Linked DNA regions of Struthio camelus. The protein of the gene in region 1 purifies or fractionates together with the protein of each later gene. This does not show direct contact. Links are inferred from orthologs where the notes say so. Each region holds a gene or a part of one and is shown on either strand. Other genes may lie near its edges. The genes, in order: ADRA1D, SNTB2, UTRN and SNTB1.

What was found.
Region 2: the proteins of ADRA1D (region 1) and SNTB2 purify together in Homo sapiens (tandem affinity purification; 4 studies listed by BioGRID and IntAct, with this or other methods). This does not show direct contact. The link is inferred for Struthio camelus from reciprocal best matches to the Homo sapiens genes ADRA1D and SNTB2.
Region 3: the proteins of ADRA1D (region 1) and UTRN purify together in Homo sapiens (tandem affinity purification; 4 studies listed by BioGRID and IntAct, with this or other methods). This does not show direct contact. The link is inferred for Struthio camelus from reciprocal best matches to the Homo sapiens genes ADRA1D and UTRN.
Region 4: the proteins of ADRA1D (region 1) and SNTB1 purify together in Homo sapiens (tandem affinity purification; 4 studies listed by BioGRID and IntAct, with this or other methods). This does not show direct contact. The link is inferred for Struthio camelus from reciprocal best matches to the Homo sapiens genes ADRA1D and SNTB1.

What each region holds. Positions count from the first base shown.
Region 1 is NC_090945.1:83,656,394-83,664,095, forward strand, and holds the start of ADRA1D (alpha-1D adrenergic receptor), read left to right. Parts: upstream 1-4,696; 5' UTR 4,697-4,835; coding exon 4,836-5,802; intron 5,803-7,702. UniProt on the Homo sapiens protein: This alpha-adrenergic receptor mediates its effect through the influx of extracellular calcium.
Region 2 is NC_090951.1:1,656,833-1,664,603, reverse strand, and holds the start of SNTB2 (beta-2-syntrophin), read left to right. Parts: upstream 1-4,762; 5' UTR 4,763-4,783; coding exon 4,784-5,243; intron 5,244-7,771. Other genes in the region: UTP4 (U3 small nucleolar RNA-associated protein 4 homolog), read left to right, coding at 1-46, 578-694. UniProt on the Homo sapiens protein: Adapter protein that binds to and probably organizes the subcellular localization of a variety of membrane proteins. May link various receptors to the actin cytoskeleton and the dystrophin glycoprotein complex.
Region 3 is NC_090944.1:84,645,747-84,652,863, forward strand, and holds the start of UTRN (utrophin), read right to left. Parts: upstream 3,001-7,117; 5' UTR 2,959-3,000; coding exon 2,865-2,958; intron 1-2,864.
Region 4 is NC_090943.1:159,111,238-159,118,694, reverse strand, and holds the start of SNTB1 (beta-1-syntrophin), read left to right. Parts: upstream 1-4,440; 5' UTR 4,441-4,525; coding exon 4,526-5,069; intron 5,070-7,457. UniProt on the Homo sapiens protein: Adapter protein that binds to and probably organizes the subcellular localization of a variety of membrane proteins. May link various receptors to the actin cytoskeleton and the dystrophin glycoprotein complex.

The DNA.
Region 1 (7,702 bases):
ACCAGGTCACCACTGTCCCACATGTGGTTCGGGGACCGCCAATGGGTCTCCTACCGGAAGAGCAGAAGGTGACCTCGAAGGGATCATAAGCAGTTGAAAAGCAGAGCAAGAACTAAGCATACACATTCACATACATGGAAGAAAACTGATAAATGCAGTAACCATGTTGATGCAATAATGGCTGAGATGGTTGAAGGGAACGGGGAAACCAACGGGAATGACAATTTACCATACATTTCTGGGTAATTTTAGGTAGGTGTCACAAGAGGGTCGTCTCAGTTGTTTTTTTTTAACCTCCTTTTTCCGTTAGCTAATAAAAGCTATTTCCTTTCCCCATCCTGCTTGCCTCATTAATTAAGACATAAACATTTAAAATGTAGCCTGATTTTACTGGGCTTTAAATAAAATTGCAGCAACGCCAACCAAACAAACCATTAATTTCAGGGTTGCTTTTTTTGTTGTTTTACTTTGTTTTACAAGACAGCTGGGCCTCCGGCAGCACAGGTTTGACTCATCTCTTGCAATCACTTCCAGTTCATTTTTTTAATGTGCTTGAAGACCTGGTGTCAGCTGGGGATAGGAGCTGGGAGAGATAACCTCCAGCTGGACATGGCCCTGCTGGGACATGCGGCAAAGACTGGCCTTGGCCAGACTCCTTTCCCTGGAGGATCTTTGAATTGCCTGCCCCCAGCAAGGCTAGCCTGTCTTTACCATCACTTCAATGTTATCAGTTCAGCACTGGTGTGTATTTAATGTGAGTAGGATCCGTCTCTCCTAGCTCTGGAACCTGGAGATGCTATAGGTATCCGCACCTGAGCTAATCTTCCTGGAGAAAGGGTACAGCGAGGGCACAATCCGTCCCATCCCTGAAACACGTGAATTGTGCTCTCAATATCCCTGCTCTTCCTCCAGAAAGAGGGAGACAACTTTGCACGGCTTTCTTTCAAGCTGGCGGAAAATGAGGCCGCACTCTGAAAGCTTGTGTACCGCTGAATGAGGCAAGTGTGCAAGGAAAGGAAATAGCTTTTAATAGACCGAGTCCATTTACGCAGCAGAGGGTACAAACGAAAGCGTGAGTTAATACACCCGCCTGAGTCGGCAGAGCGGACGCCGGTTGCTCAGGGTGGATGCCGGCGCCGGCGGGTGGGACTCACTTGATCCATGTTGCTCAAATAGGTCAATCACCATCAGCATCTAGCCTCGATCTCTCCCGGCTGCGGCTTTTGTCAATCTGGGCTATATGCAAATTTTTGATCGAAATATTTTAAGCTGCGGTCTTTTGCACTGCAAAATTGCCTTTCCTTTTCAAGGCTCGGGCTTAGCGTGTAATTACCGAGCGACAAACACTACCACGTGCTTGCTGGCTTTATGTCTCTTTCTTTTATTCAAAAAGCCCCATTCACACCACTATACGGAGCTACTCTTGCCTGAAATTTCGAGTCCTAGGATGAACTCTATCCCCAGCTAGAGGATGAAAAAGAGGGAGGAAAGAGCTGTAACATGTCAAAAGGGGGAAGGAGCTGTACTTCCTCCCAGCTCAAAACCGGCCGATTGGCAAGGGTCCATGCACTAGCAGATCTGTGTGCATTCACTTCGGCGCTTCGGTTCCTCCGTGCGGACCTGCACCGACCCTTTTATTTTGGTTTAAGTGCACTAGTATAAACCTGTTCCTCATTAGCTGAAATTAACTGCAATAGCCCTGGTTTAGACTGAAGCAAGGAAATAGATGGAAAGCAATGGGGTAACTGTACCGTAACGAGCTGATGCTCGTTAGCTGAGCCGCAGTAACCGAGCGGGACACACTGCCCCGGCTGGCAGGTAAAATACACAAGAGCATCCCACGCTCATGCACCGCAAGCAGGGCCCCTCCATCCCTCTCCTGCCCAGCAAGAAAATGCCCTGCCTCAGAAATAAAGCTCCTCAGCTTGGACCAGGGATAAAATTTCCTCCAAAGATGGCAGTTTTACATCAGGATTGATCCTGAGTGGCTTAGCTTTTCTCTTCCTCAGAGTGATGGGGTTTCGTCTGGCTTTTCCTGTGCCCCTTCCAAGCCCTGCGGTCCAAGGCATCTCAGCATCGTGGGCAAAGTGACTTTGGCTGCCCGAGAGCGGAGAGGAGGGGAGGACAAGACACGGGGCCGATGCCCTCTTGACCCTAACATCGTTTGATACGTCATTTAGGAGAAGCCTTTCCTTTCCAATCAAAAAGGTGGTTTGAATCCTGCTTTACGAGAGAACTTCAACTCAGCCTTAATTTTGGAGCAAGGCACATGTTTTCCTTATCTCTGTGTGTCACTGGGCAGATTAGACAAGATATATTTATCTAGACAGCTATCTGTGTAGCTGCAAAGAGACAGCTACAAAATTCCATGGATTGAGATCATCCCATGCTGAGTTTAGCATCCCAGTGCGAAACAATACTTCATTTTGCTGGCTGACATGTTTTCATCGAAACATAGGGAAGATGAGTAATTCGACCTCAAAAGTTGGGTGTTTGGTGTTTTTTTTTTTAATTCACTTTAAAAAATATATTTAAAAAAAAAAAGCAAACAACAAAACTGGCCTTCTGAACATTTTCCTCGTACAGTATTTGTTCCTGTTTGCTTGTGTTTCCTAGTTGTTCTACATTTCTTCTTCCCAGCAGGGTCAAAAATCCAACTCTAGGAAGGAGGGTGAACCCCTAAGGGACAAAAAAAGTGCATGAAAGAAATAAGAAAGAAAGAAGATCAAAATGTGTCATTTCCTGACATGATTGTCAAGGAAAATAAGGAAATAAACATAAAGTTTTTCTTTTTTTTTTTTTTTTTGACCACTCACATCACCAAGCGAATTAACAGACTTGGTCCTGCTCTATCAGAGCAACAGTTAAAACACCTTGCTGTCCACTTGGACTGCTTTTTAGAGCAATTTTTTCAAGACAGAAAAGTTGAAAAATCACGGATAAACACACTCCAAAGAAATATTTCCTGTGTATGGCAGGAAGGAGCCAAAGAAAAACCCCTGTTCAACACCAGGGTCAGTCCCCATTGCAATGTGTGGAGGCAGGAGGGTAGGGTCACTGGGAGAAAACCAGTGTAAACAGGATCTGCTGTTATCAGTGGGAAAAGGCCCTGTTTAAATTAGCTAGAAATATGCGCCTATATGTTTTAATCACAAGTTTCGGAGTCTTGCAGCAGGGCTAAGTCGTAGCAGCGAACTAGAGGATCACAGGCTGTCCCTGAACACAAGGCACTGGTCTTTCCTTCTGCTTTTACAAGGGACTTGTACTAGGGACAAGGGGCAGGCCACGTCTGCAGCCCCGTCTGGTGCTACCTGGGTGCAGGTTGGGCTGGAGTCCTCGGCTTAGGCGGCAGGGCAGGACTCGCAGGGCTGGCCTGGGAAGGATGGTGCCCCTGCACGCTGGCTGAGAAAGGAGGCTCAGCCTCGCAGGGTGTGGGACACTGGACGTGGGTGGGGAGTTTCCTAGCCTTGCAGGGCATCTTTCTTGGTGGGACACTGGTGTGAGGGGGGAACTTGCCAGCCTTGTAGAGCATCCCTCCTGGTGGGATGCCGGACCTGGGCGGAAGGATGGGGGGAGTTTTCCAGCCTGACGCAGTGGGAGCTTGTCAGCGTTGTAGAGCCTCTCTCCTGGTGGGAAGATGGACCTTGGGGGGAGTTTCCCAGCCTTGCAGGACACCTCTCGTGGTGAGCCAGCGGGACATAGGGGGAACTTGCCAGCCTTGGAGAACATCCCTCCAGGTGGCATGCTGGACCTGGGGGGCGAGGAGGGGGCGGGAGGCGGGGGGGAGTTTCCCAGCCTTGCAGGGCATCCCTCCTGGTGGGATAATTCGCGCCGCCGGGCCGGCAGCCCGCGTGGGGCCGGCAGCGCGCGTGGGGCCGCCGCACCGCGCCGCGGGCAAACGCTGCCCTCTGCTGCCCCCCGGCGGCGGCGGGCGGCGCGACCGCGCGCGACCGCTCCCACGAGTGGGCGCCGGCTGCCGCGGGTGGGCGCTTGCCCTTCTCCCCGCCCTCCCCCACCAAGGCAGCGCTTGCCCTCCCCGGAGTGGGCACTTGCCCTCCGCCCAGGGGGCTCCCGCCCTCCCCCGAGTGGGTGTCTGCCTTTCCCCGCGTGGGCTCCCCCGCAGCGCTCCGCTGGCACCGCGGCCGGCTGAGCCTCGCCCGGGCCGGGGACGGGGACGGGGGGTTCGGGAGGGAGGGGGGGGTCGCCTCTGCTTGCAAAGTAGCAGTTGCCTCCTCCTCCTCGTCCTCCGCCTCCTCTTCTTCCTCCTCCGGCAGCACCTGATGCGCTAAGGCTTCTTGACCCCCCCCCCAAACCCCGTCCCTCCCTCCTCCTCCTCCCCCCCCCAGCCCGTCCCACAGCCCCCCCTTCCCCTCCTCTGCCGGAGCTCTCTCTTGCAACTGGGAGAAGCCGCCCGGAGCCGCCAAGCGCTGCCGGCCGGTGCCCAGCGCAGCCCCCGGCCTCCCCCGGAGCATGCAAGGGCGGCGGGGGGGCTCCTTCCTCCCTGCCCCCCCGGCTGGGCAGGAGGCTCGGGTGAGCGGCAGCGGGAGGGAGGCAGGGAGGGAGCGCAGCCCCCGCCCGATGTGAAGCTGGGCGAGGGGAGAGGGGGGTGGGTGGGGAGGGTGGTTGGGGAAGAGCGCCGGGGGGGGGGTGGGAGGGGGAGAGCCGGGCACCCTGCCTTCCCCCTCCTTCTCTCCTTGCCAAGGGGTGGGTGGTGGGGGTGAGGTGGTGAGCGAGACTCGGAGCGGGCTGCGGGGGATCATGCCGGGGGGGCTGCGCCTCGGCATCGCTTTCGCCGCCGACGCATCGCCCTCCATGGAGCCCGGACTTTTTCTACAATGACTTTCCCCGAGCCGAGCAATGCCAGCTTGAGTGGGAACCGGACGGGGCAGGGCAACCAGAGCGGTGCCAACCAGTCCTGGGGGCTGCAAGCCGAGGACCCCTCCGACGGCAATGGGACCACGCTGACTTTCACCTTGGATGTGCAGGCGGTGGGAGTCGGGGTGTTCCTGGCCGCCTTCATCCTCTCGGCCATCGTGGGGAACATCCTAGTCATCCTCTCGGTGGCTTGCAACCGGCACTTGCAGACGGTCACCAACTACTTCATCGTCAACCTGGCCATCGCCGACCTGCTGCTCAGCACCACGGTGCTGCCCTTCTCGGCCACCCTGGAGGTGCTGGGCTTCTGGGTGTTTGGGCGCATCTTCTGCAACATCTGGGCAGCTGTGGACGTGCTGTGCTGCTCCGCCTCCATCATGAGCCTGTGCATCATCTCTGTGGACAGGTACATTGGTGTCAAGTATTCCCTCAAGTACCCCACCATCATGACAGAGAGGAAGGCAGGGGTCATCCTCGTGGTGGTCTGGCTGTCCTCCATGGTCATCTCCATCGGGCCACTGCTGGGATGGAAGGAGCCACCACCACCGGACGAAAGCATCTGTAGCATCACGGAGGAACCAGGTTATGCCTTGTTCTCCTCCCTCTTCTCCTTCTACCTGCCCCTCATGGTCATCCTGGTGATGTACTTCAGGATCTATGTGGTGGCCAGGAGGACCACCCGGAGCTTGGAGGCGGGGGTCAAGAAGGAGAGGAATAAATCCATGGAGGTGGTGCTGCGCATCCACTGCCGGAGCGTGCTGGAGGAGCCTCTCTCCAGTGCCCGGAGCAAGGGGCACAACTTCAGGAGCTCCCTCTCTGTGCGACTCCTCAAGTTCTCCCGTGAGAAAAAAGCAGCCAAGACTCTCGCCATCGTCGTGGGCGTTTTCATCCTCTGCTGGTTCCCCTTCTTCTTTGTCCTGCCTTTCGGTAAGTCACTCCTTTCCCCATCCCAACCCCACTAGCTGTGGCTGTGCTCCTGGGGACCTGCTCCTTGGGACAAACTTTGAGGACACGATTCATGCATGGAGTCAAGTCATATATACCAGATAGATGAACAATACAGCAACAGACTGATTAAATTAATTAGCACTTATTCGATATTTATTAGTCAAGTTCATATAACCAATCAAAATAAATAGCAGCCAAATAAAATAGCAACGTAATCATTGATTTAATTAATTTATCATTTATTCAGCACTTCAATTAGTGAAGTTAAGACTGGGGAGAGAGAAAGCAGATTTGTCTCTAACAGACTATACTTATGACAAAGCCGTCTCCAAACAACTTTGTAGCCTCTGCCTCCCTCCACCACTTCCTCCCGGTTCGAGGGAGGGCACCTGGGTCTGATTCCCTGTGACCAGTGCTCCCATCCCTGCTGTGAACTGCCGATGATGTTGGAGAGTGAGTGAGGCTTGATCCCCCTGAGTGAACTCCTCTGGTGGAGAGTGTTTCAGATAGAGGCATGGCCAGGGTCATGGCCAGGGTTAGTTTAGGTGTGCCTGGCCTCCACTATGTAGCTAGCCTGAGCCAGCAATTTGGGATTTGGTTTATGCCATGCAGAGGAGGAGGGCATGGCTGGCTAGGAAGTATCCCTTTCAATCTGGCTCGGGTGGGGGCCTGGCCTCTGCCCTCCCTGTCTCCGCTAACTTCCCGGGATGCTGATGTCGCGCATGGATCTGGACCTGGACCAGGTCTTATCTGCACTGGCATGACGGCGCTGGGCAATTGCCCAGCACTGCTCCTGCTCCACAAACTGCAAAGGGGAACTGCTGCTCCTCCCGGGTGAGTTGCACCCTCCGGTCCTGCCCCAGCTCTCCCAGCCCTGACAGCGGGTCTCTGCTGGTGGGTTCTCTCTTTGGGTTGTGCCGTAAGTTTTGGCAAGTTCTTTCAAAAAAACACCTAACTCAGGAGGCCGGGTTAACCCTGTGGAGGGATGTAGCTGAACCAGGGGGATAAAAGTTAAAATAACTTCCAAATGCTGGCCTTTGTGCAGAGCTCACAGAAGCAGAGAGGTCTGCTACACCAGCTGAGGCTCTGTCTGCTGTGTGTCCCAGGACCCTCCTGGGACCTCAGCAGTTGTGTATGAATAATCCCACAGCCAGGGAAATGTTGTAGCCAGATGTGCAATTTTTCTCCGGATTTTTCAAAGCTTCTTGCTTAAGGCTTCCTCACAAGTGAATGGAAACAAAGCACCGTGACCAAGGGAATAATTTCCCCTCTGGCACTGCTGAGCTCTCCCCAGGGCACAGCTGGAGCCCAGGGCCATTAGACACCTAACTGAAGCCACTCAATTAGGAAATGGCCCTCAGGTGGAATAATTCAGCCCTGGGACTGATGATGTCTTGAAAGCTCAGGTCTCCCTGAGGTGGCAGGTAGGCTGTGAGGGGTGTCTGGTGTCAGCACATGGCTACTGTGCTTTTGAGCTCTCTGCCTCATTTTCTAGGTGAGGATGGCATTTGGTGAATGTATCTCAGCTTTCTGAAGGAGTAAAACCGTTGCTGCTGTTAGAGGTTTTTACCATATGTGAGCAAGGAAGTATGCGGTGTGACTTGAGGCAGTGAGCAGCAGGGCTGCTATGAGCTTCTCTTGATGTAAGACCCTGGCTGTGCCTCAGTTTCCCTTGCCATGCTCAGGCATGTCAAGGGATTTTTAGTAGTCTGCAAAGGGTCTTGAAATTGTGGGAGTCATGGAGGTGCCAAATATTTGAAGGTTGATCTCTGTGGACAGCAATGAGGCTCTGACACAGAGCCCCAGCCCAATGCTTGCCTCTTTGGCCCATCAGAAAGGTAGGAACCAGCTCTAAATCTCATTCCCAACTTTTCGTCCT
Region 2 (7,771 bases), on another chromosome or scaffold:
TAGGAAGAGACAACTCCACGCTTTCAAGATCTGCAAGAAGTTCCAGGTGGGTGTTGCTGTGCATGTGCTGTCTCTGAGGAGGGGTGGTGTTGAGGAAGGGGGTGCCCTGGACCTGTGGTCTGCCCAGGGGAGCAAGGAGGCTGCTGCGATGCTGTCAGGATGCCCCGCTAGCTGGAAGGAGCCACAGGTGCAGAGGTGATCCTGCCACAGGCTCCCTCCTTTGCTGTTTCTGGAGCAAGATGCCTGCTGTCCTGGCATGGTCTGAGCGCAGCCTTCCTGAGCTGTTCCTCAACTCTGCTGGTGTCGTATGTGCTCTCAGTGCCCCAGCAGCTCTGAGTCTCTATGTCCCCATCACGGTGCAGCCGCTTGCTGTCCATCTCGCGGGCTCTGATTTTTCCCCAGCAGCTCTCTGCAGAGCACGTCCCTTAAGCGATGTCCCTGGTTAAGGTTAAGCCAGAGCTGCCTTGCAGCCAGCTCCACGTACGTGGTCGAACCCAGCAAGCTGAGGCAGGGCAAGGAGAGACATTGCCCTGTCCCTGGCAGGGCTGTCATCTCCTGTCCCCTCCCTGCCCTGCAGCCCCTGCTCTTTGCGGATCTGCTGGATGAGAACTGCCTTGTGATGGTGGAGCGGCCCCTCATGGACATCAAGACCCAGCTGCCACCACCCATCCAACAGAAGAAATTTGGCACCTAAGAGCAGAACAAGTTGCTCCAGCCACAAAAACTGTGTATGTTACTTTCCTAGGATGTTGTAGTAATAAACCCCGTTGTTCTGTAGGGCTGCGTGCTCAGGCATCATCCTTGCCCTGTGGGGCTCCCTGCTGTCTGAGCAGCAGCAGGTCAGATTGGCTCTGGCCTGAGTCTGAATCAGGAGCCAAGGACACCTTTGTCTCGTAGGACTCCCCTGGTCATGCCTGTCCTGCTGTCTGGGTTGCTCATTGGCAGCGACTGGTGACTGCGAGGGCTAGGCATCGTCCCAGATCTTCTACCTTCTCTGTGGCTGCTCTTCTGGGAAACGTCAGGCCCCGGCGCTGGTTTCTCTCTCCTGGTGCTGTCCCGGGCAGCTGCAAGATGGGTTTCGTGACTGCTGGTGGCTCTGCGTGGGACAGAGGGGGCTCCCATCCCCTCAAACAGCAGTCACGTTCACGTGTCCCGCCAGGCGGGAAGCCTAGTGAGCTGGGCTCCGGATGGACAGAGGGGTGCCGAGTGCCTGCTCAGCAGGGCAGGGACGGGCAGTCCCCATGTGCCCTGTCCTGACGCCTGTGCAGTGCGCTCCTGCTCTGCCTCGAGAGAGGGTCGGACGGGAGAGGCAGGGCCGAGCGGCTTGTTAGCGTTGTAGTCGTGCATGGCCACAGCCGTTTTTGCAGTGCTGGTGGGCGCAGGCTGACGGTGGGTGAGCTGCCACGTGCCGGTGCGTGGAGCAGCTCTCCTGCCCCTGGCCTTGGGAGGGGACACCAGGACCGGGGTGTGAATGCACACGCTCTTGCTTTGCAAACTTTTCCTCGCTGCTGTCGCTACCTCCCCTCATCGCTTGGCCCTCCTGCTTCCCAGCCCCTGCTGCGGAGAGGAGAGGAGAGCGCCCCATCTGGGTGGCTCGATCGGGAGGAGGGTGCTGGAAAGCTTTTGGCATGGGGAGCTGGCAACGCGCAGCCGCGGGAGGAGAGCTGGCTCTCCGGGGCTGCGGCGGTGTCGGGCGGCTGTCCCCGCGCTCGGGGCTTGGCGGTGCCTCCGGAGGAGGACGGGAGCGCAGTGAGGGCTGCTGCTGACGTTCTCCACGCCGAGCTCCTGCTGCAGGGAGGCAAAGCCCGGCCTGGAAGCAGCCAAGGGTATTTAGCCGTATGTGTTTGGGTGCACCGTCCTGCCCAGTTGCCCTCTCTGTGACAAGGCTGATGCTCGCCCTACCGTTTCAGGAACGGGTACCAGCCCCGTGCTGCTGCGCTGTCGTTTCCCTTCCCTCCTTCAAAGTCTCCTATTCCGGCCAGCTAGATTCCCCTCCAGCTGACAGGCCTCCCACGAAGCACCGTTGCAGTCCGTCTCGCCCCCGAGGCTTGCGCTGACCGGGCTGCCCCCGCTGCCTGCGTGTGGCCGAGGCCAGTCCTTGGACAGCAAGCAGCCTGGGGGCCGGACTGCCGACGGATCGGGGAGGAGGATCTGGTCACTGCAGCCTTGCGAAACTACAGGCTCCGAAAAACGGGGGCAATAAACAGCTGCCGGTTCAGTATCGTAGAAAAAAAAAGAAACGCGAGCAAAGCTCTTCTGTGGGGAGAGAAGATTTATGAAACGGTGACTCAGGATGATGTTTATTCTCTTGCAGAAGCTACTCTGCAGCGACCACTGTCCCTCGCGCGTGCATCTTCCCCCCGCACGCTGCCAAGCGGCCTCCCCTGGTCTCCTATCAGCAAGGCAGGGCCCTGGGGCGGCGGGCGCCCGGGAGCCGAGCGCAGCAGCGGCCGGGGTCCCCGAGCGGGCAGGCTGGCCGCGCTGCTGTCCAAGCGCTTGACGAACCCTGGGCGTAAATGAAGGTGACGGGATAGGGGTGTTGTGTAACGGGAGCGTTGCCCCCGTGCTGGTAACCTGCCGAGCTCGCCGGCGCCGGTGCGTTGCGGCAGCCACTCAACGTCTGACTGCGAAATCTTTGCTCCCCGCGCGAGTAATTCCTTGATCGGCCGTTGCGCGAGCAGGATGCAGGGACGCTGGCCCGCAGAAGGAAGTTGCTTTCCTGGGGGAGAGGATTTCTTTGGCGGAGTTCCCCCTAATGCTCTGGCTTCGCTCGCTAAAGCAGGAAGAGCTGTAGGGCTGGCGCGCTCCGTCCGCCCTCTCCTCGGCGTCTCGGCGGCCGAGCCGCTGCCTCCTGCGGGGACAGGCCAGCAGCTCGCCCCGGCCTCGGGGCCTGCGAGGTGGCGCCGGGGTGGCCGCGGGGCTCCAGCCCTGGGCGGCTGGTGGTGTCCCCGTGCCGCTGTCCTGCCGCCGGAAAGGCAGGCTGCGCCCGGGGCAGCGTGGCCCTGGGGACAGCAGTCCTGGCCCTTTGGGCACGGTGTGAGCTGAGGACAGCGTGGCCCTTTGGGGACAGTGGTGCTGGCCCTGGGGACAGTGTGGTTGTGGGGACAGTGGTGCTGGCCTTGGGGATGGTGTGGCCTTTTGGGGACAGTGTGGGCCTTGAGGGACAGCGGTGCTGGCCCTTTGGGGATGATGTGGCCCTGTGGGGACAGTGGTGCTGGCCCTTCGGGGGTGGTGTGGCCCTTTGGGGACAGCAGTGCTGGCCCTTTGGGGGTGGTGTGGCCCTTCGGGGACAGTGTGGCCCTTCGGGGACAGCAGCGCTGGCCCTTTGGGGATGGTGTGGCCCTTCAGAAACAGCATGGCCCCTTGGGGACAGTAGTGCTGGCCCTTGAGGGATGGTGTGGCCCTTTGGGGACAATGTGACCCTTTGGGGACAGTGGCACTGGCCCTTTGGGGATGGCGTGGCCCTTCAGGGGCAGTAGTGCTGGCCCTTTGGGGACAGTGTGGCTCTTCAGGGATGGCATGGCCCTTCGGGGACAGCGGCGCTGGCCCTTTGGGGATGATGTGGCCCTTCGGGGACAGTGTGGCCCTTCGGGGACAGCAGCGCTGGCCCTTTGGGGATGGTGTGGCCCTTCAGAAACAGCATGGCCCCTTGGGGACAGTAGTGCTGGCCCTTGAGGGATGGTGTGGCCCTTTGGGGACAATGTGACCCTTTGGGGACAGTGGCACTGGCCCTTTGGGGATGGCGTGGCCCTTTGGGGATGGCGTGGCCCTTCGGGGACGGTAGTGCTGGCCCTTTGGGGATGGTGTGACCCTTTGGGGACAGTGTGGCTCTTCAGGGATGGCATGGCCCTTCGGGGACAGCGGCGCTGGCCCTTTGGGGATGGTGTGACCCTTCAGAAACGGCGTGGCCCCTTTGGGGACAGTAGTGCTGGCCCTTGGGGGACAATGTGGCCCTTTGGGGACAGTGACTCTTCGGGGATGGCGTAGCCCTTCAGGGACAGTAGTGCTGGCCCTTTGGGGATGGCATGGCCCTTCGGGGACAGTAGTGCCGGCCCTTTGGGGGACAGTGTGGCTCTTCAAGGATGGTGTGGCCCTTTGGGGACAGTAGTGCCGGCCCTTTGGGGGACAGTGTGGCCCTTTGGGGACAGTGTGACCCTTTGGGGACAGTAGTGCTGGCCCTTTGGGGACAGTGTGGCCCTTTGGGGACAGTAGTGCCGGCCCTTTGGGGGACAGTGTGGCTCTTCGAGGACAGTGTGGCCCTTTGGGGACAGTAGTGCTGGCCCTTCGGGGATGGTGTGACCCTTCGGGGACAGTGTGGCCCTTCAGGGACAGTAGTGCTGGCCCTTTGGGGACAGTGTGACCCTTTGGGGACAGTAGTGCCGGCCTTTTGGGGGACAGTGTGGCCCTTTGGGGACAGTGTGGCCCTTTGGGGACAGTAGCCCTTTGGGGACAGTGTGGCCCTTCGGGGACGGCGGCGCCGGCTCGGGCGCGGCCCGCCCGCGGGCTCCCGCCCTGAGGAGCGCGGCGGCGGCGGCGGCGGCCTGAGGCGAGCGCGGGGGCGGGGCCCCACCGCCCCTCCCCGCCCCGTCCCTCCGCCTTACCCAATCAGAGCGGGGGGGGGGCTGAGCCGAACCCCGCCCCTCCGAGCCGGCGGGCGACCTATCAGAGCCCGCCATGCGGGCGACGGGAGGAGGGGGCGTGGCCTCGGGGCCGCCGAGCGCCGCCCCGGGGTGTGGGGGGGGAGGGGAGCGCGCGGGGCGGCGGCGGCGGCGGCGGCGGCGGGATGGCCGTGTGGACCCGCGCCTCCAAAGCGGGGCTGCTGGAGCTGCTGCTGCGGGAGCGCTGGGTGCGGGTGGCGGCGGAGCTGAGCGGCGAGGCGCTGAGCCTCACGGCGGAGCCGGGCGGCGGCGGCGAGGCGGCGGCGGCGGCGCTGAACGGCGTGGCCAACGGCGCCGAGTGGGGCGGCGCGGAGGCGGCGGCGGCGGCGGTGCCGGCGGGCGTGCGGCGGGTGCGGGTGGTGAAGGCGGAGGCGGGCGGGCTGGGCATCAGCATCAAGGGCGGCCGCGAGAACCGCATGCCGGTGCTCATCTCCCGCATCTTCCCGGGGCTGGCGGCGGAGCGGTGCGGCGCCCTGCGCCTCGGCGACGCCATCCTCGCCGTCAACGGCGTCGACCTCCGCGACGCCACCCACGACCAGGCCGTGCAGGCGCTGAAGCGCGCCGGGAGGGAGGTCGTCCTCGAAGGTACCGCCGCGTCGCGGCCCCCGCTGCCGCTTACCGGGTGTCCTGCCCCTCCGGCCCGGCCCGGCCCGGCCCCGTTACCGGGTGTCCTGCCCCTCCGGCCTGGCCCGGCCCGGCCCCGTTACCGGGTGTCCTGCCCCCTTGTCCCGTTACCGGGATCCTGCCCCTTCCCCCAGCCCGGTTACCGGGTGCCCCCTCCCCCTTGTCCCGTTACCGGGTGTCCTGTCCCCTTGTCCCGGCCCGGTTACCGGGTGTCCTGCCCCCTTGTCCCGTTACCGGGATCCTGCCCCTTCCTCTGGCCCGGTTACCGGGTGTCCTGCCCCTTCCCCCGGCCCGGTTACCGGGTGTCCTGCCCCCTTGTCCCGTTACCGGGTGTCCTGCCCCCTTGTCCCGTTACCGGGATCCTGCCCCTTCCCCCGTCCCGGTTACGGGTGTCCTGCCCCCTTGTCCCGTTACCGGGTGTCCTGCCCCCTTGTCCCGTTACCGGGTGTCCTGCCCCCTTGTCCCGTTACCGGGATCCTGCCCCTCCCCCTTGTCCCGTTACCGGCTGTCCTGCCCCGTTGTCCCGTTACTGGGATCCTGCCCCTTCCCCCAGCCCGGTTACTGGGTGCCCCCTCCCCCTTGTCCTGTTACTAGGATCCTGCCCCCTCCCCCGTTGTCCCGTTACCGGGTGTCCTGCCGCCTTGTCCCGTTACTGGGATCCTACCCCTTCCCCCGGCCCGGTTACCGGGTGTCCTGCCCCCTTGTCCCGTTACTGGGATCCTACCCTTTCCCCCGGCCCGGTTACTGGGTGTCCTGCCCCCTTGTCCCGTTACTGGGATCCTGCCCCCTCCCCCTTGTCCCGTTACCGGGTGTCCTGCCTCTTGGTCCCATTATTGGGATTCTGCCCCCTCCCCCTGCCCGGTTACCGGGTGTCCTGCCCCATCCCCGGATCCCCCCCCTCCTGCCCTCTTTCCCGTTACTGGGATCCTCCCTCTCTACCGGCCGGCTTACCGGGTGTCCCACAAGCCCCCCAGGCCACGTCCCGTTACTGGGGTCCTGCACTGCTTCCCTGTCCCCTCACCCCGGTCCTGCACTTCCCCTGTCCCGGTTATCGGGTGTCCTGCACGTCCCGGGCTTCCCTTCCCGTTACCGGGGTCCTGCCCCCTTCCCGGATCCCCCCTCCTGCCCCCTTCCCGTTACTGGGGTCCTGCCCCCTTCCTGGATCCCCCCCTCCTGTCCCCTTCCCGGATCCCCCCCTCCTGCCCCCTTCCCGTTACCGGGGTCCTGCCCCCTTCCTGGATCCCCCCTCCTACCCCCTTCCTGTTACTGGGGTCCTGCCCCCTTCCCAGATCCCCCCCTCCTGCCCCCTTCCTATTACTGGGGTCCTGCCCCCTTCCTGGATCCCCCCTCCTACCCCCTTCCCGTTACTGGGGTCCTGCCCCCTTCCTGGATCCCCTCCTCCTACCCCCTTCCCGTTACCGGGGTCCTGCCCCCTTCCTGGATCCCCCCTCCTACCCCTTTCCCGTTACCGGGATCCTGCCCCCTCCCCTGTCCCAGCTACCAGACTCCCGGCCCCCTCGCTGTTACCAGCTTCCCGGATACCCCTTGTGTCCTCGTCCCATTACCGGGGTCCCTGACACCGCCCGGGATCCGCTCTCCCGTTACGGGGTGCTGCACGCCCCCCATCCCGGTGACCGGGCACACGGGCAGCCCACGGGTCGTCCCCGGTGCCGGGACCCAGCCGGCTCCCAGTGGTGTCCCTGCCCGCCGTGGGGACGGGGACACGGACATCCCACCCCGGTGGCGGTGTCCTCGCCCAGAGCAGGGGACGGGGACGCCCTCTCCCGCCCCGGCATCCCTGCCCCAGCCGGGGACAGGGGCAGGACACCCCCCCGGGTGGGCTCCCCATGGCGAGGGGAATCACGTCACCCCGGGTGGGGGGTCTTGGGCTGCCCGCCGCCAAGCGGGACAACCCCACGGGCTTTAAAACGGAGGCCCGCAGCCGCGGGGAAGCCAGCAAGGCGGGGTGGAAGGAGCGTGCCGGCCGGCTGCCCCGTGCGGCTGCGCCCGCTGCTGCGGAGCACCCGGCTCCTGCTGGAGGTGAAGCACGGCCCGGGCTCCTCGGGGGAACGCTTTCCTTGCAGTTAGTTGTTCCCATGCCCGCACCACGGCTATTCTTGGAGTCTTCTGTTTTTATTAATTGTGCAATTTTGTGGCTAAGAGTTGCTGACAGCGTGAATTATCTGCTAGCGGAGGGGGTGACCCTTTCCTTTGCAACGGGCTTGGCTCCTGCCGCCCCTCTTTGCTGTTGCATCTCCTCTCGAGAGGAGGCCTAAGAAGCGAAACTAGCTGCCTGGCGTCTGGGGGAAGCTGGGCCAGAGAAGCTGCGGCCGGCGCAGAGGTGAACGCGGCGCCTTCGCGTCGGGTTTCCGTGTGCAGCGATGCCGCTCTGTGCGGCGGGGCCGTGCTCCGCGCGCGCTGAAACGGGAGTCTCCGGAGAGCGCCCGCCGGGCTGCCCGTGAGAGGAAGGGTTTGCGCGGGGGGGTCGG
Region 3 (7,117 bases), on another chromosome or scaffold:
AGCCGACTCAGGGCTTCACAATTGCTTACAAGAACACAAACAATATATTTATTTTTATAATAGCTTTTTGCCTCATGACAAAATAACTCCAACCTGCTTTCACTGCATATATCTTGTGGGAACAGATAAATTACTTCCCACCTGAAAGGAAGTTTTTAATTTATAGTCTAATGTTCCTGGTATTTCCAAAGCAAGGCTATCTGAGCTAGAAGGAAATGCTAATACAAGCTAAATGCACAAATTCAAAAGAGACGTTGTTAAAATATTAGTTTGCAAAATGCCTCATGTCACTATCATTATTTCCTATTGCTATAAAAAATAGCAATAATTTTAATCAATTGAGAGGGGAATTTTGTACAATAATCTGCTTGCAATACAATGTGAATTGCTTTGTTTTGCTTCTGCTGAAAATTACGTGAAAAATTAGCAAAATAAATAAGCAGTGGTATACTGCTAAGATGCCAACAAAGATTATTCGATTACCGTAGAGCGCCTAATTGGCTTCAAGAGTTGGCATTTTATAGAAACAGTGCTGTAAGGGCAGCCCCTTTCAGAAGGTTTCATATAACTGACATCTTTTTCTAGTCCCTTAAAGCACGGTAAGGAACATCCCCTCAAGCGACATGGTGACATCCATCTGAACAATCAGGCAATTAAGGGAGAAAGAAATCAAAAAAAAGAAAAGCACACACACAAATCAAGTCAAATACTGCTATGCTTGCTATGCTGGAAAGGTTTTGCCTGGAAGAACAGAGTCATTCCCACAGCATGGGAGTGCCCTCAAAAAGCAGATCATAGTCCTACAGTTTATGATAAGTTAGGAACATTATAATGCAGGGAATTTCATAGAAAAACCCTGCCACTTGCTTAAAAGCACTTCTATTGTGGCTGATATATTGCAATCTTTTTTTTCTAAACAGAGAGCTCTCAGCTCAGAGAGAATTAAACAGGACTTAAGAATTGGCCATTAAGTGCTATCTGCACATGCATATAAAGCACTTGAACAAGCAAGTAGCTGCAACTTACCTAGGAAAATTTATATATTAGCCTGGCCCCAATTTTAACAGGCACCCTTACAATAAATCATCCACACACAAACAAATATCACAGCCTTAGCTGTGTACACCCACTGACACTTACCTACTAGAAATACCTGAAGGACTGAAAAGGAAAGGCTCAGAAGGATACACCTCCTGTTATTCCACAGACAAACTTTTTAAAGGTTTCACAACCCTAATGTTCATCAATTAATTGTATGGTTGGTTAAAACACTTACTTTCCTCTCCCAAGATTAAGTTCCCCTAAAAAACAAACTTCTACAAAAGAAGAAGAAAATCCCAGAAATAGTTCTCAAAAAGAAACAACATACACCACAGATCAAATGTTTCTTCTGAACATGTGCCCAGGTTAAAAACAAAAATAGAAAATAACACACAAAAAAAAGCATACTGACATTTTCCTAGTTCCAACCTTCTAAAAAGAGAGTCAACTAAAATAAGTTGCATCTCACCAGCAGGCTGAACGCATGCTAGAGATTCTGAACAACATCAAATGGCTCTCTGACCTGTACTTTTAGTGAAAACTGCAAACTCATTGACAAAAGCAAATCCATTAATGGTAATGAGTTTTCTTGACATTTTTCTCAACTTTAACCGTTTGGATTGGCCCTTAAAGGAAAAGTTTCTGATCTTATATAAACTGGCATATCTCCAAATCCACCTCAGCGTTACCAGAAGCAAGCATAAGTAAGACTAGAGTCTCAGCGCATCATTTTGTTCTATTTAAAATTAGTAATTCTGCTTCTAAGGCTTAAGTGAATTGTTGTCTTGCTCTATAAACCTATACTCAGACTATAGCTTTTTCAAAAAAAAAAATAATAATAATAAATCTACTGATCAGTAGGTTCTGCATCAATGAAGCCCTGACACCAATTCACAAAATAATCAGTCCCTATTTGTCAATTACTGTGTCTCTAAGGCATATTCACAAGTATTCAGAATCTTCAAATCCTGTTCATCATGCCAATCTAGCTTATCTGGCCCTGGCCATCATGAAGCAGATGAATATTGAGCCCATGAAATTTCAACCAGGGTGAGTAGGAAGGGACGGAATGAAGAAAAGGAAAGAGAAACATTCCCAATTTCTTCTTCCTCAAAGCCCCACAAAAATTCTTTCCAAATTACAGGAAATATTGCTCCCAGGACATTCCAAACTTAGAACAGATACACACACACACACACACACACACACACACCCCTCCTTTCCCCAGTTTTGACTCAAAAGAAAAATCCCACCATGATCATATGCTGTACTGTAAGGGGGGCTGGAACTGTTATAAGTATGTACATCCAACAGTCTCAGGAAGTATAGTAAGCAGAACTGCAGAGAATAAATACAATTAAATATTGAAATCACTGACGTGATGTACAGTTTCAGAGAAGTAGGGACATTAAGGCTTCCAATGCTGTCATATCATGTTTCCATTGTTTAAGAACCTATTCTTAGAAAGGGAGAAAAAAATGAAGAAGTAGGCAGAATCACTGTGGAGGAAAAAAAATAATACCCTTTATGTAAAAAGGAAACCCACGACAAAAGCACTACCAAGTGCCTCTTGTAGATGTTAAACAGCCACAATTAGTACAGAGCTCGCAATGGAGGAGTGCCACAAAAAACAGACTGCAAACGGTCTCTCCTTCGGACTGTTTCTTACCACGTCTTTGACAACCTGTTGCTATTAGGTTCGGCAAACTTGAATCAAGTTAATAAAAGCAGTTTGCATCAGGTATAGAAGACAAAAACAGACGCACATGGTTAGATCCCTTTATCCATCATAGCCTTGAAAACATATTTAAACATGCACTCACCCGGTGGAGGATAACAAGTCTGTGTGACAGTATTCCAAGGCATAGCAAGCTTGTGCTTTTTCCATACAGCTTTTTTGGCTGTTTGAACATTCATGACCAAGCTTACTGTTCAGAAACAGGAAAATGAAGATGTAGAGGAAGTACACACTAATACCCACACAAGAAGTGCATGCTGGGATTTGAGGGGGAGGGAAGCATTGGTTTTCCTCAGAGAGTTTGACATATTCAGCCATAGAGTGACTGACAAACCAGTCAGGAAACAAACTTTTTACAGTTAAAGACTGTAAATAAACAACAATAGACTTAAGGCTAATTAACAGTTTCAAAAAAAAAAAAAGAAAAGAAAGAAAAATGCACAGATGACTATTTCACTTCGCTTTCTCCATCTTTATGAAAATTGAGTGCTTCTAGGCTTTCAAAGCATTCACAAGTTTCTATGTACAGAAAGTAGGAAATACATTAGCAATTTTCCTGTGCATTTAACAGTAACTCTGCAAAAAGCTTATAATATTACTGCAACACTTTTTCTACGCATTTGACAGAACATCAATCCTGGTAAGTATCCACATCTTTTACTGGTATTTTAACAAAGCACATGGAAATTGTAATGCAAGGTTTCAGCACAAAAAGCAAGATCTGCAGATAAACCTCTATGCCAATGCAACAGTTACAAACTCTGATTCGGTATGCAATTTCCATTGTGCAGTAATTGCAAACAAAACATGCCACAGTACAGTAAGGCAGAAGCTGCATAATGTAAGGGTATGTCAGTTATTTTAGAAGAAGGCCTTTAAACTTCTTTGACCATGATGACAGAAGGCAAAACCAATCCCTCCCCCTTCAATATCCTGTTGTCAACTTTAGAATCAAATTGAGATTTTTTTTAATCCTGTAGTTGTGAAGTGTATGCGATTCAAAATGATCCATTTTAGGATATTAAACTGTATAGATTTCCACTAGTCACAAAAAAAGTAATGCAAGGCAGGAATAAAAATAACATGGAAGTACAAGCATTACAACCAGAGAAGAGTTACATATAGAATTTTTTCAAAAGCAGTAAGACAGGGATGCTATTTGGTTTATCTGTGTTGGCGCACTGTGTTGTAAGGCAACTGTTCTAAATTCTGCTTTTATCTCTTTATGCATATTCAGCTGGGAAAGTTTACTGTGTCACATACCAGATAGACACTGAGGGCAAGGTTGGGGGGGGTGGGGGAGGGGGGAAGAGCTCAAGATAAGATTTTTCTTTTAACCCCTTTCGGTTAGTTGGTCTTACTTTGGATTTTTCTATTTTAACAATTCTTCATAGTTGAAGCCTGAAACATTTGCACAAAAGCGTCTTGTTTCCATGAATAAAGACAGCCATACATACACAGGGCTAAACCAGACATTTGTATCCAAACTTTTCTGTGGCCTGTACAACAAACGAGCAATAGGGAAGGGAAATAAAATATTAAAACCAGGATTCACATAAAGATATTTATGAACAAGCAACAATGATGTATTTTGCAATGGCAAATACAAATCCAAACCTTGTTGGTTCAAGCAATTTACAAGCACACAACAAAAAGATGTTGCCAATTCTAGGGAATATAGAATCAAAATTAGCAGGAGGTCAGGTACATATGCTAAACATTATAAACAGCACCTAAACTCTTTCTTCAGGTCCTAATGAGACTGATTTGCGTTCCTTAAGAGACAGCCCTTCCGCTGATCCAACGTTTCATCTCACCTACCGCACATAGCCCTTGCCTACTGAACAATAAGCCCCATACACAAACACATTAAGACTCTGCTCATCGGATACTTGCCAAGACTAAAGGTTATGTTGTTTAAGTTTCAGGAATTAATTGTTTTGGTACAACACTTTCACCCTTTCCATTCCTTAATAAAGGATGGTGCAGTCAGTAAGAGAAGTTAGAGCAACACTGAGTACCCCTCTGAGCCTTCATTACTCCTGGAATTTCAGTATTAAGGCATGGGGGGGCAGGGAGGGGATGAGGGGAAAACGTTAATTCACCAGAGAGCTTTCACAGAACCTGAACTCTTGAGTTTTTCTTACCAGCAGTAATTCGATAGCACATCTTAGTGAAACTGGTTTCATCCAACACCAAGTTTTACTTCAAAAATCCAACACTTTAATAATAATATACATTGAGAACATTTACTGCTTTATGAAAGATTTTTTTTGAACAAAATAAATTTCTTATTCAGATAGAGGCAGAATTATGGGTATAAGTTAGTTTCACATCAGAACTCATCCATAAAGAAGTTAGCTTTAGAATGGCAGAAATATTTTTTAATAGTGAGGCTTGGGCCTCTGCCATAATCTAATGTATTGGATGTGAAACCCATGTGTTAACCACAAGAACTGATAAGCAAGAGAGAAGTGGTAGCCATGGGGAAAGTAATCCTAGAAGAAGGCAAAAGAGGATTTTCAGTTTTTTAAACAAATGCAAGAGTTCAACATACCATCCATAAAACACTTCATTCATTAGGGGAAGACGGTCTCATTCCTACCACTACTGAATTCAATAGGCGATTTATTTAGCAGCTCTCTGTCTAGAGTATGTGCTTTCTTTTATTCACTCTGGTGTTGACAGCAGTAATGAAATTTTGTACATACCACTGCCTCTATTATAGCTCAACAGCAACTGGCTGCCTGCCCTAGCCTTCTTACCGTCATGTAAGATAAAAAGACCAGCCAAACAGACCAGCTGAAACTACAGTGGAAAAATAAAAGTAGAGTGAAGGCTGAGTAAAAGCCTAGTGAGCAGAAATCATATGTTTTAATATTCACCTGCATACTACAAAGCATGGAGAAGAACAAGGCTAGGGCCAACACAAAACAAAAGTCACTTCAAGTTTTCAGAAGGACTGCAGCTTAAATGGCACCTCAGTTCTTCTAGAAGAACCTGAATTATAAACTTAATACATGAAAACATCATATATCAATAGCTCAGATCATAAAATAGGGAATAGGAAAGTGAGAAAAAGTAGAGGAAAAACAGAAAAACGATTGCATCTGGTCATTTGAAGGTGAGTTCATAAACACATAAGATCACTTCTCTATCCTGGTCCCAGCAGACACGAAGTCAGCACCAGGTCCAAAACGAAATTAAGTTCACAGTTGCAAACAATAATGGGAGTGGAAGGCAACATCCTTTAATTATAAAATCCTCTGTAAACAATACAGTGTTGAATACGATTGGTTTCCATCTCTTCTTTGCTTTCTGGTCCTGGGAGCTTTCCAAGTCCCTTTAATGCCTTGACTCAGTGAAGAGGAAATTGGCTACTTTTTCACCGCCTCCCTTCTTGTAGCCTCATTCCAAGTAGGCCTGGGTTAACCCTTCTCTGAACTTCTACCCATCCAGACAAGTCTGCAAAGAAAGGCTTGTTTTACCGAGGAAGAAAACAAACAAAAAAAAATGTATAAGATTTCTTATAGGAGAAGAACAAGTAGATGTAGAGTTCCTCCATAACCTTCCTCCCCTGTTCGTCATGCTAAAGCCAAGGACTTGTTCCTTCCTAGAGAAGGAGCATGCTCTTCTGCAAGGTTTTTATACTACCTCTCTAGGCCTCCACTTTATAACACTGCTATAATGAGCTTCTAGTTAAGCATTTCTCATGCTGTGTGATATTAATAACCCATAATTTTATTCACAAGGTTTTATTTCACCACAACAACATGACAAGATTTTTTTCACTGGCCCAACAAACACGTTTTGAATTAGCAGATCAAACAATTCTGGAACTTCAGTAAGCAAATAAAAGAGCTTAGAGGACAATGTTAAAGAGAAGGATGCTGAAAAGGCAGCGACAGGAACTGAAACAGAAAGTAATGTTTCAAGTGCCTGTCTAATTTTGGTGGAAATTGGTAATTAATTCAACCCCCTACTCCCAGAAAACCCAGAGCAGCAACAACTTTGGATGGATAACAAAGAACTTCTAGCATCTCTTTCGAAACCTTCTTTCACACAGCAGGTTTGTGTCAGCATGAAACATTCTTTTGAAAAGTGAATTAACAGTATAGTAATAGTTAAGCCTTTGCTACTGTGGGGTGGAGTGGGGGGGAGAAGAACACACATTGTTTCAAGTATTACAGCTATTAGAGCTCTATGGATAACATACAAATATCATCTTAATGCTTGCACAAAAGGCTCAGCATGCAAAGAGTTTTAGTAATACTGTGCTCGACAGATTTGGTTCTATTAAAATAGCACCTATGTGGCTGTGCGGCAGCAACTAACCAA
Region 4 (7,457 bases), on another chromosome or scaffold:
ATAATGCAACCTCTAGATTATGAAGGTCTTCAGGCATTCCTGACATCTTCATAACCCCAGCAGAGACAATGAGTAACGACAGCCGCACGCTGACTTGAAAGCCAGCAGGCTCCCTCAAGGCTAAGGGGTGGATTGCTCAGAGCGGTTAAGAGGGTGCAAGCCCCCACTAGCAATGCCTCGGGCAAGCGATGACCCAGGTCAAGCGAGAGGTCCACCTCCTGGTGCAATGGAGACATCCGCATCATGGCTGGAGCCGGGACTGCTGCATCCCAGCACGCAGAGGAGTGGTTTCCCTGGGGGAGTGAGGAGGGATAGTTTTGGCATGTTCCTCAGCAGGACTTACTTAAACTTGGCTCCTGCAATGTTTGGGATCACTGGAGGAACTGGACTCCTTTCCAGCTCTCTCATTACTTGTCAGGCTTCCAGCACTGGGCTTCCAATGCCGTCCTTCCTTCCTGTCCAGAACCGTCTGCCGTACTGGTTGATGTCAGGGTAACAATATGGGAACGTCATTATCCAGGCCTGATTTTGTCTGAACTCTTGTCATTCCTCCTGTTTCCAGTTAAAAAGAATTTCAGATGAACTGCTTTTGAATAATTGTTGCTAGGCTGGCAACAAAAGAAGGAGGGACAGCAGCGCTATATGGGTTTGAGTTGTCTCTCAAAAGTCCTATATGTGGCCTTGCAGTGTTCTTGCTGTCAGAAAGTCAGTTTGTTTACATAAGACGTGCATACTGACCTCTTTGCCTGAAAACAGGAGAAAACAAGAAGAGCAGACAGTGGCCTGAATTTCTGTCTCCAATACGTCCCTCCAGTCAAAGCTGTGTCTGAAGAACTTCCTCAGTGTCACAGTCACAACCATTTCTGCATTGCTTTTCCTATATTTTCTATTCTCGCATGCTCACAAACTACTAAGCCCTTCCCCTTGCTTCTGCAAACAAAGAGTTCCTCAGGTACCATCACTTTGCTTGTGACCTGGATTTACTTTGGTGATCTTTGTCACTGGAGGTAGCTTCTGTGTTTTCCAACTGCCTCTCTTCTTCCACTTTGCTGATACTTCTTCCGCCTAGCCCATTGGCCTTAAATGAACACCCAGGTGTCCGTAGACCAAAGATCGATTCAGCAGCAGCTATTAGCATTATCTGGCTTAATAATTTGTTTATATTACATGAATGAAAGGGGCCGTGATCTAGTTCAGGCTTTTGTGTGCTCCTAAAATATAAATGGTAACAGATGATTGACTTGTTTGAAAGGGTACGCTTGTTGTGGTAGACGCTTTCAAAAGGGCAGGTCATCTAGAGCAACTTTTTCTAAGCTGTGCCTGCACTGGAAGCCTTTCTAGACACTCGAGGCTGGAGCAGGGAAGGTACTGAGCCCTCTGCTCATCCCACCTAACACCTCGGCTTCCTCGCAAATTGTCACGACTACCCTGAACACTCCTATTGCAGTGGGGTTATTATGGTTTATGTCACATACATCACCAGGAGGAGAAGTTTTGGCTGAGACTAAGAGTTTGCACCCTGTCGTGCCCTAAAAACCATTGGGGACCAGCACTGGACTTTGCAGTAGCAGTTTTCTCTGTTGCTAACCTGACTACTCAATAGCTATACACCTGTGTACAAATCTGTTTTTATCTTTTGCGCCTGCTCCTGTTATATTAACCTGCATTTCAGAAGCTGCTCTTCTAGATGTGATTTACAGACCTGAGGCAGGGTCAAGGACGGTAATGTTGGCTGGGATCGAGGGGAGAAGTCTCATCACGCCTTTTCTTCCTTCCCCATACTCAGCAGCCACAAGTTGCTATTGGGGTGCATGCAAATAGGAGCTAGCACCTCCCGGGACAGAGAAGCAAAGACTTGAGGTATCAATGACTGCAGCCTGTCTCCAGGCTGCGAGACAACCCAGGAGACTGTTTGCCTTGTGACTGTACCTTAGCATCCCTTCCACTATCTTCTTTTTACTTATATTTTTAAAACTACAATATTACCTCTATTTTCTTACAGTTCCAAGGTGGGGATGAAGGGGGAGGAGGAGGCAACGAAGATTGCTATAAAGACTCTTTCATATGAGGCACTAACACCTCAGGTGCTGGCACTGGGAAACGTTATTATTTATCTCTGCTGGAGTGGGAAAGGAAAATAGCTGGAACAAGCACAGTTCTCAGTGACATGCAGTGAATTGTCTATACAACACTGTTCCACGGGAACTCCACAGGAAAACCATTCACTCTGAGCAAACACGGGCCAGCTGCATCGTATACTGATGGAAAAGTGCGAAGCATTAAGAATTTCCTTTCCATTCTGCATTACTTTTTAATGACAGGACAGAAATCATTTTTTCTTGTAAATTTTCTGGAATGACTTTAAAAAATACATAGAGACACATCTCCATTAGCAGTAGCATTGATTCTTTAGTAATACATAGGAAAGAATATGAAATAATGGGTAAGAGCTAATCCCTTGAGAAACAGAAATGCCTGATTTTGTAACTTGGCCTGGTCACTTACAGCTGCAGAGCAATTTGAGTGCTGTGATAGTCCGCACTGCAACACCTAATTTTTGCACGCCTTTCCTTTTCTCCTCATCCTTGCTCTCAAGTAACTGAAGCTGCTGGAACCCAATAAGCACATTAATTCTCTAAGCCTGGCACCTTTTGGAATGGGATTTAAAAAAACCACCCAGGATGCTGCACAGGAGCTACCTAAATTAGCTAGCAGGAAATACTGGAGAACAGGGTGTGTTACACCCTATTCCTTTCTTAGGGCTTAGACATCTTATTCAGGTTTAGTGGGACACTCTGGATTCACAGCCCTGAATACTTAATTATAGCTTTTCTACCTTGCATTAATTAACGTGAGAAATTAAGAAACCTGTCTACGGTCTGCTTTCTCCACCCACCTGCTATCCTTGAATAACCCACGGCCTGTGGGTTAGCGCTCTCCTTCCACCCCGGTTTGCATTCCTGCCAGGGGAGGAGGCACCACAGGCTGCCGATGAAGGACAGGGGCCCCCTTCCACCGGCTTTTGCTGGGAAGGGAACGCATTTTTTGTGGTCCTACAGACCCTGCTAAATCGAGGCACGATCACGAGGGGAATAGCCAGTATGCAGATCCTTTGCTCAGCCCGTTAACCTGAGAGCAGCGTACCCAGAAGTGTACCCAGAGCCTACCCAGAAGCAAAACTGCAGCGTCAGAAGTGAACGGCACTGCTCTAGAGAGGAGCAAGATGCTGCACTTCAGGCCCCGCGTGCTCTGAGGAGCACGTTAAGGGGAATTAATATTAATGGGAGCTGTACCTCCCGCTCACTGTGCACCACACGCCCAAATCCCCCAAAGCGTTGCTCCCACACACACTGAACAGTCCAGAGCTGTTGCGCGGTTCAATCCAGCTCATGAACGAAGCGGGAGCCAGGCCACCGAAAGGGCAGTTCAGGAGCTATGCAGGGACCACAGAGTGGCACCGCCACAGAGCCAGCGACGCCAGGGCTGGTCCAGGTCCTCAGTGCGGCAGTGTTGTCCTCCTTTGCGCCCGAGTTGGAGCCCTGAGGCCTGCACCGGCACCTGAACTGCTTCCCAGGAGGATGGGAAACGCGGGTCTGCGAAGAGGGAAACACAGCCTTCTCAGGCCCTAAAACCTGGTCATGAAAGGGTGAAGAAAACAGCCTCAAAACGTACAAAAGCATCCCTGACAGTCATTCACTACCTTCATCCTACACCGTTCAACGAGTGCGGGAGTGATGCTTGGGGGGGGGGGCGGTTGGGGTAGGATGAACTGTGCAGCTCCCATTGACTTTGTCATTCACTACCTTCATCCTTGAGGGATACTGCCACAGCTTTCATTCTACTTTGATACAACTGAAATTTAGAGGATATTTGTGCCACCTATGTGTTTCAATCCACCTATTTTAAAGAGAGGCCTCTCTTTTTCTCCTTCACACAGGGGAAAACAAACTCACGTTTTAGCTAAACCTCTTCTGCCAATACCCGCAGATCCTCATTGATTTATTTTCCCTCACGGCTCCATGCCCTTAACTCAGAAGGCGAGCTGCTAACTGTCTCTCAGGAGGTCCCTCCAGCGGTGTATGATGGCAGGCTCCACCCGAGGAGAGCCACCCGTTATAGAAAAGAGTAAAGAACGGGGTAATCTGCGTTTTCCCTTCTTCCCGAGTCGGGAGACGGGGACCGTGAGTACTTCGGCGATTGCTTTTATCAGTGGGCCCGGCTGGGAAGCGGCAGCCCACCCGGTTGTTCGGACGTAGCCTTGGCCACCTCGGGCGGGCTGCTCCCACGCTGACACGCACCCGCGCGGCGGCGGCGGCGGCGGCGGGGGCGGGCGGTGCGGCCCGAGGGGGCGGCCGCTCCGCCCCGCTCCGCCCCGCTCCGCCCCGCTCCGCCCCGCTCCGCCCCGCTCGGCCGCCGCCGCCGCCGCCGCGGGGAGGGAGCGCGCCCGCCGCCCCGCGGGTGAAGTCCGGTGCGCCGGGGCCGCGCCGGGGCCGCCGTGGCTCGCCGTTTCCAGCATGCTCCAAAGATGGCGGTAGCGATAGCGGCGGCAGCGGGCGGCGGCGGCAGCGGCGGGCGGGGGCAGCGCAGCGGCTGGCTGGAAGTTTTGGTGCGGGAGCGTTGGCACAAAGTGCTGGCCAACTTGGGCGGCGAGGCGCTGGTGCTGAGCGGCGAGGAGCGCCCCGACGGCGCGGCGCACAACGGCCTGGGCGGCGATGGGGCGGCGGCGGCGGCGGCGGGGAGCCGCGGGGCCGAGGGCGGCGGCGGGGCGGTGCGCACCGCCTTCACCGACCCCCCCGAGCAGGTGCCCGAGGCCGTCTCCAACAAGAAGCGGTGCGTGAAGGTGCTGAAGCAGGAGCTGGGCGGGCTGGGCATCAGCATCAAGGGGGGCAAGGAGAACAAGATGCCCATCCTCATCAGCAAGATCTTCAAGGGGCTGGCGGCCGACCAGACCCAGGCCCTCTACGTGGGGGATGCCATCCTGGCCGTCAACGGCACCGACCTGCGTGATGCCACCCACGACGAGGCGGTGCAGGCGCTCAAGCGGGCCGGCAAGGAGGTGCTGCTGGAAGGTAGGGGCCGGGCAGCCTCGCCTGCCCCCCCTCCCCGGGGGGCAGCTGCTCAAGGGGTGGTGGAGCCGAGCGGGTCGGGGGTGGGGGGGGGGGCGGAGATGCCTCCCGGCGCAGGGCCGCTTCTTCTCCTTCGGGTGTCGTTCCCGCGGCGGGAGTTTATTTTCCCTGCCCTGCGCCCCCGAGCTGCGCGGGGATCCCCGACGACGCGTGTTCAGCGTTTAGCCCCTCGTTTAGAGGAGCTCCCTGCCCCGCCGGGCACCCGGGCGTTAGCCCTCGTCCTCCAGACGGCTGGCGACGTGCCCCGTCCGTGCGGGACGGCGGAGCCCCCAGGCCGCCCCGTCCGTGCGGGACGGCGGAGCCCCCGGGCTGACCCGTCCGTGCGGGACGGCGGAGCCCCCAGGCCGCCCCGTCCGTGCGGAGCCCCCGGGCTGACCCGTCCGTGCGGGATGGCAGAGCCCCCAGGCCGCCCCGTCTGTGCGGAGCCCCCGGGCCGCCCCGTCCGTGCGGGATGGCGGAGCCCCCAGGCTGCCCCGTCCGTGCAGAGCCCCCGGGCCGCCCCGTCCGTGCAGAGCCCCCGGGCTGCCCCGTCCGTGCGGGATGGCAGAGCCCCCAGGCTGCCACGTCCGTGCAGAGCCCCCGGGCCGCCCCGTCCGTGCGGGATGGCAGAGCCCCCAGGCCGCCCCGTCCGTGCAGAGCCCCCGGGCCGCCCCGTCCGTGCAGGACGGTGGAGCCCCCAGGCTGCCCTGTCTGTGCGGGGCTGCGGCTCCCCGCCGGGTCGGCTCCCGTGCTGAGGGCCCGCGGTGCGAGCGTGCCGCATCCCTGCAAAGCGGAGGGTTTCGTTTCACTCTCCTGCAGGGTGGCAGGGAGAGTTTTGTAAGAAGCAGCTTCAGGAAGCGAGCCCAGAGCACAGTTGTGGTACGCGTAGGAGGGAGGGTGTCCCCCAAGCACAGATGCCGGGGACCGGAGTGGTCACAACGAGCACAAGGTTCCCCAGGACACCGAGTTCATGGAGAGAGACGCGTTCACATGCTTTTAATCGTTGTCTTTTCACAAGGATTAATTTAGTTGCTAGACCTCCGAGAATGTACAGCTTCAAAAATGCCCTTGGCGCGTGTTTGAGAAAGCGATTACATCTTTGCCCAAAGTTCATTGCCCCAGAAGTGGCTGGCACTGGGACACGCTGCTGTGCCTTGCCCTGTGCCAGCTGCCTTCCCTCTGGGCCGCAGGCCCTGCTGGCTGATCATTCCCGCAGCCCTTTGGGTACCACATGGTTTTGTCTCTTGGGGCACCGAGGATCTTTTGCTCTTATCCTGAGGAGCAAAGGGAAGCGTCACTGCAGGTAATGGAAACACACTTGAGGATTAGCTGTGAACAACCAGCTCCAGCATGAAGTTAGGCACAAAGCTCAAGAACAGGTTCTGTGCACTAAAGCAAGGGCAACAGAGACAGTTTTGCTTGGGTCTACAGCCGTGTTTATTGAGAAACTATTTGATGTTGTCCACATTACTGTGAAAACTGCAAAGGAGGTGTTACCCCAGAGGGTTTTCACGTGCTGTGGACCATTGCCTCCTTGTTCTCTTGGGTATAACCCAGCTGCGTTTCTTCTTCAGCAAAACCACTTACGGAGATACCTGCAACGTCTCAATGTAAAGTTCTCTCTAAGCTCTGAATTGGGACTATTTCATCTACATTTTTTCCTTGATTTGTTTACACAACATAAGGACTTCCTAGGGTGCAGGCCAGACAGAAGCTGACCTTTGCTGTGATCTAGTGAGTAATGTATATACTGCTTACAAAACTCTCTCCTGTGAAGCGCATGCAGTAACACCACCTGAACACACTGCTGCTGTACAAGTCTTTTAAAAGGCTCGGTTTTGTTCCCTGTAGGAGCGAAGATCAGGTAGTTTCAGCACGGGCTCTTAGCACCCTCCTTATCTCCGCTGCTTTTACCATGCAGCTGTTTTCTTGGATTTCTTTGCTCTGTGGAGGTGTAGGCTGATGTGCTTCAGTGATTGTTTCTGCAGTACAGTTGTCGGAATTGTTAATTTGTAGATCCAGAGCAATTTCAGTAGTCATCCTTCTGTGTAGTTAAAATATTCTGACACTGTACTGTCTATTTTTCCTGGCTTTCTCCTGCTATTTTAGCAGTGTAACCAAAATCAGAATTGTCCAAGGTGTTGCCCCAGGAGATGCTATTCAGTTCAGCAGGGAATCTCTCTACATGAATGGCTTGTGTAAACAGGCGGTTTAAAACAATTGTCTGAGATTCAATTTCCCACTTTGAAGCTCTTTCTTCAGTAATGGTGTAAAATGGTCTTTTTATTACAAAAGGAAGGAAAAGCAAAAGTTTTTTTTTTCCTTTAAAATATAGGAGGGAGAGCCTTGTAT